Linked DNA regions of Saccharomyces cerevisiae S288C. The gene in region 1 interacts genetically with each later gene. Each region holds a gene or a part of one and is shown on either strand. Other genes may lie near its edges. The genes, in order: GPI18, ERO1 and GPI16.

Region 1 (3,836 bases):
CTGCTTTGATATCAAAATCTTGCAGATGTGCTGCTATATTATCTGGGGCATCACCTGCCGTTATCGACGAATGCTATGATTTCGGTAGAAATCTAGGTATATGTTTCCAACTCGTAGATGATATGCTTGATTTTACTGTGTCTGGAAAAGATTTAGGGAAGCCATCCGGCGCGGATCTAAAATTAGGTATTGCTACTGCTCCAGTCTTGTTTGCATGGAAAGAAGACCCATCTTTAGGTCCACTAATTTCACGCAATTTTTCAGAGAGGGGTGATGTTGAAAAAACTATTGATTCTGTGAGACTCCATAATGGTATAGCGAAGACGAAAATACTAGCGGAGGAATATAGGGACAAGGCATTACAAAATCTACGGGATTCTCTTCCTGAATCTGATGCTCGTTCTGCCCTAGAGTTTTTAACTAATAGTATACTAACAAGAAGAAAGTAAACCTTGAAATTTCAAATAAAGGGTGAAGAATAAAGAGAAAATGAAGAAGGTCATAGTGTCGCATTATTCTATATTCTATATGTAAATAGTTTTTATATGTTTTTAGTAAAAGAAGAAATATACAAGCATTAAGGATCAGGCTGGTGGTAAAAAAGCTGCAAATAGGATAGTCTGTAAAGGTATCCAGAATGCCAACCAGTATATGTAAAACTTGACTATCTTATCGTCACCTTTCGGATTTTCCATTTTTTTTGGATCAGAAGTTTTAACCAATCTATCAGCCAAATACCAAAGGTGCAAGGGTAAAAAGGAGGCTATACGATTCAGAATTTGGACATGGGCAAAAAAGCATACTATGACGACCAGTGCTCTGGTGATCCATACGAGAGCCTTCAAGTTATAGGAGGGATAAATTTTGCTGAAATATATGGAGGAATAGATTAAAATAATAATATTTGGGACAGCAAACAAAAAGTTTGGGATGTTGTTTGGGGTCCAGTATTTCAATAACCCAACTCCCCAATAATGACTCTGAATGTAGGAATATAAAGAAGTTTTCGTGATAAAAATGCTTGAAAACAATTGAGATTTACACCATTCACCCCTTTGAGGACAAAATGTCTTATATGGTAGGTAATATTGTTGATATAGTAGAGCAGAAAACATTAATGATCCTGATAATAGTGGGAAACATATTGCTTTTACAAACTTCCTGTTCTTTGTTAGTTCAATAAGGTCAAAAATAAAGTAAATCCCTAACAAAACACAGTTTGAACGATTCAAGGATGCTAAGGTAAAGCAAGCCATGCTGATAAAGGAGTAAGGAAACCAATATCTCCACGAAATATCGAATTGACCCAATACGGGCACGGAAATGGAGCATTCACGACTCCAAATACCAACAAATGCAAAAAAAAAAGATAATGGTTCAGAATATATGCTTGTTAAAAATCCAGCGGCACTCGTTAAGAAAAACAACAGAGATGTTTTTTTAGCGATAGTTCTAGCAAACTGTGATTGCCTTATATTTTGGCTGAAAATTTTTTTTGTTAGAAAATATAAAACAATACCTGACAAGTAAAATAAAACATTTTCTATTGCAACTCCAACCCTTAAGGCATGGTAGATGCTATCGTTATTACTTTTAATAAACAGCCTAACGAAAAAAGTCCACAACTGAGAAAACGCGTATTCATGCTCAAATTGAGGTTTTCCGTTTTTGGAAGTTATGTTCTTGATAAAAAAAACACTGTCCCATGATAGTAGCTTATTCCAAAAATACTTGTTCCAATAACTGTTGATTTCAGAGGGAGAAGAACATAATTCGTTTAATAAAAGTGATGTTGATGTATCAAACTGCCTAATTGGAGTCAAAAAAACCAGTAAATACTGTATTGAACGGAATAATACAAAATAAAGTGTCAACCCCACAATCATATTTTAATTTAGTCTTATTCCGCCTCCTCTCTCGAAGCCTCTCTTTTATGTCTTTTTTCGATGATGAGGCTTACTTTTTTTTTCAACTAAGCCTTGAAAAAAAAAGTTTGATTTAAAAGGGATTTTCTATTTTAAGTATTTAAATGACCGACAGGAAGCTCATGCAGAAAAGGCACCTGTAATAGCTTATTGATCATTCCAATAAATAGGAAAGTATAACTCGAATTAAGAATAAGGAATGGGACTTATTTCATACGAAAATGAGGCGATAAACGAGGTGAAAAAGGCAGATAACCATCACGTTAGCAAATTTGTGACTAGTTACTATGGGCCATCATCGTCGTCATGGCAGTCAGGAATATGGATTTTGTTTGTGCTGTTTGTTGCCGCAGTAATCCTTATAATACTGTTCACTTTTGTAGCGAACAGAAGGAGACGAAGGATGGGGCGTGCTCCCATTAGAGGTACGGCATGGTTGACACCGCCTTCATACAGACAGTCTCAGCAACAATATACTGGGACCGTTCAGCAACGGACAGATGATTATGTTCCTGAGTATACAGAAACAGCGAACGAACATGATCTTGGATACTATGACCAGCGGGGCGAGTTTCACCCCAACGATAAGGCTGCATACGTGGCCCCCCCGCCATTGGTACAAGAATGTTCATCAGAATCTGTTAATTCTTTAGAAAGACCTCCCGCTGCTGTAGTTCACCAAGCTAACTCTTTAGATACGGATTACGGTTTAACAAGGCCTAGCAATGGGCGCGTTCCAGCTGTAAGTGATACGGTGGAGCAATTGGAAAGGCTTCCGGGCGGGACTACAACGCAGGAAATTAACCCACCGGAGAGGGCAAAGGTAAATGCAAGGTCATGAACTGAATCTTTTTTTCCGGCTGTCCTCTTACAGTTGAGTTACAATATTTTGCCAGAAATATTTACATTTTTTTACCCAATCTCTATAATAATTATTTTAATTCCTAATCCGCTTCAGGCCCGCGGTCGTTGAAGTGCTATAGTTTATATTCAGTACATTGTCTTTAATCTCTCAGTATTATTTTATCAATAGTAAATACTTCAAGTCCATCGCACGGCGTGGTGGTGATAAAGGGAAAATGCGCGCGGGATTAGCAAAGGCGGCCAATGGATTAAGGGTGACAAGATAGCACCACATCACATCACATCACCATCAGTAATGGAGAGGAAATAGGGTATAAATACTCGTCAGAGATCAATAGATATTATTTCGCAACGTCCTTTATTGTTCTGTTCTTATTTGATCAATTAAGCTAGAAAACCAGCTACATTAAAAGCAAATTTTACAAACTACTATTTCAACATGACTTTGAGTAAGTATTCTAAACCAACTCTAAACGACCCTAATTTATTCAGAGAATCTGGTTATATTGACGGAAAATGGGTTAAGGGCACTGACGAAGTTTTTGAGGTGGTAGACCCTGCTTCCGGCGAAATCATAGCAAGAGTTCCCGAACAACCAGTCTCCGTGGTTGAGGAAGCGATTGATGTTGCCTATGAAACTTTCAAGACGTACAAGAATACAACACCAAGAGAGAGGGCAAAGTGGCTCAGAAACATGTATAACTTAATGCTTGAAAATTTGGATGATCTGGCAACCATCATTACTTTAGAAAATGGTAAAGCTCTAGGGGAAGCTAAAGGAGAAATCAAATACGCGGCTTCGTATTTTGAGTGGTACGCCGAGGAAGCACCCCGTTTATATGGTGCTACTATTCAACCCTTGAACCCTCACAACAGAGTATTCACAATTAGGCAACCTGTTGGTGTATGCGGTATAATTTGTCCATGGAATTTTCCGAGCGCCATGATCACGAGAAAGGCCGCCGCTGCTTTAGCTGTGGGCTGCACAGTAGTCATCAAGCCAGACTCTCAAACGCCGCTATCTGCTTTAGCAATGGCATATTTGGC
Region 2 (3,600 bases), on another chromosome or scaffold:
CTTCCTTACTTCTGAGCTTTGCTTCTCCTTCCTTGCGATTAATGTTACCCGGTATACGAAATCGGAGAGGATCAGAATAAATGCATTGAAAGGAGCATAAATCTATACAGCGGTTTGGCAATGGTGAGAGGAAGAGAACAAAAAATAGAACGCAGATAGTCATGTCCAAATACGCTTGGTATACCAGAGTTACAGATACATTACATCGTCTAACGGTACTGACGTTGGTTGGTGGTACGTTATACATGTCGGGTGGCTTAGCTTACACTTTATACATGAACGGTAAGAAGTACGAACAACAAGTGACCCAACAAAAGGCACTTGAAGAAGACAATCAACAACTGCAAAGTCCTACTGCACCTCCTACCGAGTAAACTGCGAGAACCCAGTGCTAATAAAATGAAGAAAAAGTACTAGATTACATTTTTAAGTGTTGCACTATATTCTAAGGGCCTCCATCGACGTAGTGTGCTGGTTCCACCTTCTCCTCATTATCATGCCAATATTTACGAACCTGTATATAATAATTAAATCATAAGAAACAACAAAAATAAATAACATTGCTGCCGGATTCCCGTAGGCAAAACTAACATATATATCGCTGCATGCCTTCCTATTCCTTATCAGGGGAAAGACTGCCACTGAGGTTTGAGGCCAAAGGCTGAAACACTTTTCTTCTAAAATGTCGTCTATTCGCCATCTAGTTTTTTATCTGACTATTTCTCGCTGTTTACTTTTTCTTACTGCCATTATGTAGGCCTTTTGAGTCAGCTTTGTGAAGAGATCTTATTACCTTAATTCTTGCTGAAAAATACATCGCAATGAAGTCACTTTCGTGATGGAAAGAACACGGCGGTAAGAATACGTTCCTTTTTGTGCTGTGTACACCCGTAAAATTGTACATTATTTATTTCAAAATATATAACAGGATCCCTCCAGTGTGTCTGAAATGATGCAACTCTGATACTTCAGAGTCGTACCCTTATTAAATACTAATGCCGAATATAGTCATCCAGTAGCCATAGTTCACACACACATTACTTATTCACCACATAAAGAACTAGAAATGCTTGCTAAATATCGTACCTTGAAGGTAAACATTAAGGCCCCCCAAAAGCATATATACATACTGGCAACACAAAAAAAGTAAATTGCCAACCACCTACCTTACATATGGTTTGCCCATCCTACATTACCAATACTATCAAGACATTTCTTCTGAAACATATTCACAACTGAAACGAGATCATTTTCTTATCTATCTATTGAGTAATGCTTACTTTTCATATTTTCAATGAACAATAGGATATGTAGGAGAATTGATATATTCACTGCGTATCAGAGAAAAGGTCTACTGACATTTTATGGCAAATGTATTCTACACAAATCGAGAATACCACAGACAATGGTACAAGACATACACAAAGAGAAGACTGTTCTAATTAAACAAATAATATTGAGCTACCTGCTAAGTATGTCCTTTTCCCTTTGTCCTTTGGTTTCTCTTATAGAAGACCCTGGAAATTTTTCGCATTTTTCCGGCTTTGGGCGTTAGTAAGAACAAAAAGAAAAGAAGAGAACAAAAAAGAAACGATACGGAGTACGTGTCATAAAAACTTGTTCAATCATCCTTGAAGCTAAGTATAAAGAGCTTGAAAAGGTTTACCACTTAAACTGGTTATACTATTTCAAGAGTGTAAACATTTTATTGCATATACCACAGTAACGTGCAGGTAAAACATGAGATTAAGAACCGCCATTGCCACACTGTGCCTCACGGCTTTTACATCTGCAACTTCAAACAATAGCTACATCGCCACCGACCAAACACAAAATGCCTTTAATGACACTCACTTTTGTAAGGTCGACAGGAATGATCACGTTAGTCCCAGTTGTAACGTAACATTCAATGAATTAAATGCCATAAATGAAAACATTAGAGATGATCTTTCGGCGTTATTAAAATCTGATTTCTTCAAATACTTTCGGCTGGATTTATACAAGCAATGTTCATTTTGGGACGCCAACGATGGTCTGTGCTTAAACCGCGCTTGCTCTGTTGATGTCGTAGAGGACTGGGATACACTGCCTGAGTACTGGCAGCCTGAGATCTTGGGTAGTTTCAATAATGATACAATGAAGGAAGCGGATGATAGCGATGACGAATGTAAGTTCTTAGATCAACTATGTCAAACCAGTAAAAAACCTGTAGATATCGAAGACACCATCAACTACTGTGATGTAAATGACTTTAACGGTAAAAACGCCGTTCTGATTGATTTAACAGCAAATCCGGAACGATTTACAGGTTATGGTGGTAAGCAAGCTGGTCAAATTTGGTCTACTATCTACCAAGACAACTGTTTTACAATTGGCGAAACTGGTGAATCATTGGCCAAAGATGCATTTTATAGACTTGTATCCGGTTTCCATGCCTCTATCGGTACTCACTTATCAAAGGAATATTTGAACACGAAAACTGGTAAATGGGAGCCCAATCTGGATTTGTTTATGGCAAGAATCGGGAACTTTCCTGATAGAGTGACAAACATGTATTTCAATTATGCTGTTGTAGCTAAGGCTCTCTGGAAAATTCAACCATATTTACCAGAATTTTCATTCTGTGATCTAGTCAATAAAGAAATCAAAAACAAAATGGATAACGTTATTTCCCAGCTGGACACAAAAATTTTTAACGAAGACTTAGTTTTTGCCAACGACCTAAGTTTGACTTTGAAGGACGAATTCAGATCTCGCTTCAAGAATGTCACGAAGATTATGGATTGTGTGCAATGTGATAGATGTAGATTGTGGGGCAAAATTCAAACTACCGGTTACGCAACTGCCTTGAAAATTTTGTTTGAAATCAACGACGCTGATGAATTCACCAAACAACATATTGTTGGTAAGTTAACCAAATATGAGTTGATTGCACTATTACAGACTTTCGGTAGATTATCTGAATCTATTGAATCTGTTAACATGTTCGAAAAAATGTACGGGAAAAGGTTAAACGGTTCTGAAAACAGGTTAAGCTCATTCTTCCAAAATAACTTCTTCAACATTTTGAAGGAGGCAGGCAAATCGATTCGTTACACCATAGAGAACATCAATTCCACTAAAGAAGGAAAGAAAAAGACTAACAATTCTCAATCACATGTATTTGATGATTTAAAAATGCCCAAAGCAGAAATAGTTCCAAGGCCCTCTAACGGTACAGTAAATAAATGGAAGAAAGCTTGGAATACTGAAGTTAACAACGTTTTAGAAGCATTCAGATTTATTTATAGAAGCTATTTGGATTTACCCAGGAACATCTGGGAATTATCTTTGATGAAGGTATACAAATTTTGGAATAAATTCATCGGTGTTGCTGATTACGTTAGTGAGGAGACACGAGAGCCTATTTCCTATAAGCTAGATATACAATAAGAGCAACACAGTTTATCTTATATGTATTCAATGTATAGATTTCAAAATATAGAGTTTAAATATCATTCAAAATATTCAATAAATTTTTCCTTTGAAAATTTAGGCCACTAAAAAATTATAAGAGCCAAAACGAAGTAGATACAATAATAAAAATAATATAGTCATATC
Region 3 (3,836 bases), on another chromosome or scaffold:
GTTTTCAGGTTTCATGAAGTCCTTCAACTGAGGAGCGTATTGTGACCAGATTTCCTTGGGCCAGAAGGATCTACCATCGACCAAATCTTCATTGTAATCTCTGATGATGTTGGTTTTTTGTAGGAAAAGACCCATGCTTTCATACAATTGCTCATTAGAATACAAAGATTCGTTGGCAAACTTGGCAATGACAATCAAACGGGTCAAACCATCACCGACCAAACCAGCTACGTAGTGACAGTACACGTCGTAGTCGTGGACGGTTTGCAACCCATTCAAGTTGTAATTTTCATCTAAGATGTAGTCGGCCATACCATTACCCATTTTCTCGGTGATCTCCTTGATGACTTCTTGATATTCTGGTTTCAATTTGTGGAATTCAATAAGAATCGATTCGAAATCTGTCAAAACGGCTCTGTCCTTCACATCGGGGGCATTTCCGTCGAAACTCCATTTAGTTAACAACAATTTCTCGTGGAAGTGACGCAACAAGTCAATTTTCAAATCGTGTTCGATGGACATATCGTCTTCGATGGTATCCAAAGCCCTTAAAATCAAATAAAAGAGAGTAACACAGTTTCTCAATTCTGGATGCAGCTCTCTGATCACAGCAGCAAACGATCTGGAGGTCAAGTTCAACAGTTCGAAACAGTGCAAGAGATATGGAGACGTGGACTGATCATAGATGGAGAATAGCGGTGTTCTGCAAAACTTCAGCTTCAAAGCTGCCTTCATCTCGACCGGATGCAATGCCAATTGTAATAGCTTTCCCATTGTGTGTGTGTGATATGTGACGTGTATACGTTTTCCGCTTCTGCTCTTCGTCTTTTCTCTTCTTCTGTGCTCTTATTCTTTGCCCCTGTCCTAACTTTCCATTTATATAGCCCGTGGTCGTGTTCTCGCTGCTCGTTTAGGCACTAAACCCAAAACCGATAACGCCTTCCGATGCAAAGTGCAGTGGAAAAGAAAAAGGGCAAAGCAAATAGGATGGTAAGTCGGTATTGTTGTTGAAGATGGGCTATGAAATGTACTGAGTCAGAGCACGCCAGGCAGCAGGTTCACTCTGTGTAAGCAAGGTTTGTAGTTCCTGCGGAGTTAGAGCTCCCAGAACCCACCGGGACACGCTCGCAGGGTCTCTAGAACGGGACCCAGGTTCTCTGCCGATTCCAATAGCCAATTTGGCAAAGGGTACACGGCCTCCACTGCATTTTAGCAGGCTTCGCAGCCCATTATGACCTCTAATACTGGTGCTGGGGGCTCTGAGCTGCACTTTTCCACACGCCACACTTAACTCGTCATGAATAACTACGTGTCGGGCTTGGTACTTGGCGTACCGGGCCCAGACCTTGCACACCTGTTCTCCACTTAGATTCATGTACTGGCCATCCGATCTTAGTATCGTACAATGTTCGTCTTCTATATAATGCACTTTGCCGCCCGTATTAGGCACAGGGGAATAAGTTCTCCCCTGCAGACCAAGCCGCTTTCGTAGCAGCTCCAGCATATATAGCCCTACATTGTGACGGGTACCAGCGTACTGAGGCTCTGGATTGCCTATCCCGGTCAGCACTAGTCTCCATTTACCGGACATCTTCCTTATCTGCCTAGAGTCGACTTGTTCCTACCTACTATTTTGCATATTATAGGAATAGTTCGAGATTATTTGAAACCGCCGGACCTTTTTGCGCTGGGCGATCTTTTACACGTAGTTTTAGTAGCCAATAAGTAAAAGGAGAGCGGAAACAAGTGTTCAAAGCAAACAAAGCATAGGCAAGACGACGATGATCCTCACACTGGCCTATTTCATGCTGGGCACTCTACTACTGGGTGTGTTCGCAGAAGACACGGTGTCGCAGATTGGTATAAATGACAGTTTATGGTATCCGTACGACGAAGCACTGGTGTTGAAGCCGCTGCCCAACAATGATCTGCTACTCTCATTTGCATTCCAACTGCAATCGGAACCGTTTGACCCGGCCGTATCATCCATGTCATATGATGCGTATGAGCACTACACGACTTTCCCACGGGCCATCCCACCATTGTTGGAATCTACTGCCACGCGTCAGTTTCATTTAAGATTTACCAGAGGATTCTGGGATGCCCTGTCGTGGGGACAGTTGCCACATGCTGGAAAAGAGGCAGGTGCCTCAGGTGTGGAATTGTGGTCGCAAGTGCAGGCCATGGATCAGGAACAGGCGTTCCATAATTGGAAAAAACTGTCCAATTCATTGAGCGGATTGTTTTGTTCTTCTTTAAATTTTATCGACGAGTCAAGGACGACCTTTCCCCGGCGGTCATATGCTTCTGATATAGGAGCTCCTCTTTTCAATAGCACCGAGAAACTGTACCTGATGCGAGCATCGTTGCCCAATGAACCCATCTGTACCGAGAACTTGACGCCGTTCATAAAACTATTGCCTACTAGGGGCAAATCCGGTTTGACATCTCTCTTGGATGGTCATAAATTGTTCGACTCTCTATGGAATAGTATTTCCTTGGATATTGCCACTATTTGTTCTGAAGATGAAGATGCTCTTTGTCACTACGAGATGGACGCACGCATAGAAATGGTAACACACGTTCCCTCCGCCTTGGCAAGAGGTGAGAGACCTATCCCCAAACCTTTGGATGGGAACACATTGCGTTGTGACACGGATAAACCCTTTGATTCTTACCAATGCTTCCCTCTACCGGAACCTTCGCAGACTCACTTCAAGCTGTCTCAGCTGTTTGCCAGACCAATAAACAATGGCAACCTGTTTGCTAATAGGCCCACAAGAATTTGTGCAGAAGTTGACCGTTCTACCTGGACTGCGTTTTTGTCAGTTGACGATACTATTTTCAGCACACATGATAATTGCTTTGACTTATCAAACGATCAAAATGAGGGTGGTTCGGGCTACGACTTTATTTTAGAATCGACGGACACTACTAAAGTTACTCCCATAGTTCCTGTCCCAATTCACGTAAGCAGATCTCTGACTGGTAATGGACAAGATCGTGGTGGAATGCGTATTGTTTTCCATAACGACAATGATACCCCTGTGAAGTTGATTTATTTCGAATCATTGCCATGGTTCATGAGAGTTTACCTATCCTCTCTTCAAATTACTTCTACTACCTCTCCGCAATTGCAAGAAAACGATATCATCTTAGATAAATACTATTTACAAGCGGCCGATAGAAAAAGACCTGGCCACTTGGAGTTCACGATGTTAATTCCAGCTAATACGGACATTGTAATGACTTATCAATTCGATAAAGCTCTTCTGCAATTTGCCGAGTATCCACCAGATGCAAACCATGGTTTTGAAATCGATGCAGCTGTAATCACCGTGCTATCTTTGGAGTCCTCATCGTCTCTTTATGAAATGAGAACCTCTACCCTATTGTTATCCCTGTCTACACCGGATTTTAGTATGCCGTATAACGTCATCATTCTAACATCTACAATCATGGGACTCATATTCGGTATGCTATACAATTTGATGGTGAAGAGAATGGTCACCGTCGAAGAGGCCGATAAGATTACGTTGCAATCTGGCTTAAAATACAAATTGCTAAAGCTAAAGGAAAAGTTCCTAGGGAAAAAAAAGACTAAAACAGACTAACAATCTAGCATCTAGATATGTGTATGAAGTATACGTAGTTTACATAATCTGGAAGCACTCACTATTTACCATCAGTTTCTACTTTTTAAAAGGGATCCTCATATGGATCCTCTTCATCATAATCGTCATCCTTTTCGTACTCATAAACAATAGCACCCCCTTGTCCAAAGCTTTGTGCCTCCAGAAAAGGCAATGCGACTTGATCTTTGGCCAGCTTCTGTT

Evidence for each region.
Region 2: mutations in GPI18 (region 1) and ERO1 together harm fitness more than expected from each alone (negative genetic interaction), as found in Saccharomyces cerevisiae (2 studies listed by BioGRID).
Region 3: mutations in GPI18 (region 1) and GPI16 together harm fitness more than expected from each alone (negative genetic interaction), as found in Saccharomyces cerevisiae (2 studies listed by BioGRID).

What each region holds. Positions count from the first base shown.
Region 1 is NC_001134.8:243,782-247,617, forward strand, and holds GPI18 (GPI-anchor transamidase GPI18), read right to left. Parts: upstream 1,887-3,836; coding exon 585-1,886; downstream 1-584. Other genes in the region: COQ1 (trans-hexaprenyltranstransferase), read left to right, coding at 1-449; RCR1 (Rcr1p), read left to right, coding at 2,125-2,766; UGA2 (succinate-semialdehyde dehydrogenase (NAD(P)(+))), read left to right, coding at 3,229-3,836. UniProt on the Saccharomyces cerevisiae protein: Mannosyltransferase involved in glycosylphosphatidylinositol-anchor biosynthesis. Responsible for the transfer of the second mannose to the glycosylphosphatidylinositol during GPI precursor assembly.
Region 2 is NC_001145.3:11,315-14,914, reverse strand, and holds ERO1 (ER oxidoreductin), read left to right. Parts: upstream 1-1,740; coding exon 1,741-3,432; downstream 3,433-3,600. Other genes in the region: COX14 (Cox14p), read left to right, coding at 162-374. UniProt on the Saccharomyces cerevisiae protein: Essential oxidoreductase that oxidizes proteins in the endoplasmic reticulum to produce disulfide bonds. Acts by oxidizing directly PDI1 isomerase through a direct disulfide exchange.
Region 3 is NC_001140.6:481,783-485,618, reverse strand, and holds GPI16 (GPI-anchor transamidase subunit GPI16), read left to right. Parts: upstream 1-1,781; coding exon 1,782-3,614; downstream 3,615-3,836. Other genes in the region: ERG9 (bifunctional farnesyl-diphosphate farnesyltransferase/squalene synthase), read right to left, coding at 1-774; PTH1 (aminoacyl-tRNA hydrolase), read right to left, coding at 1,019-1,591; Elongator subunit IKI1, read right to left, coding at 3,700-3,836. UniProt on the Saccharomyces cerevisiae protein: Component of the GPI transamidase complex. Involved in transfer of GPI to proteins.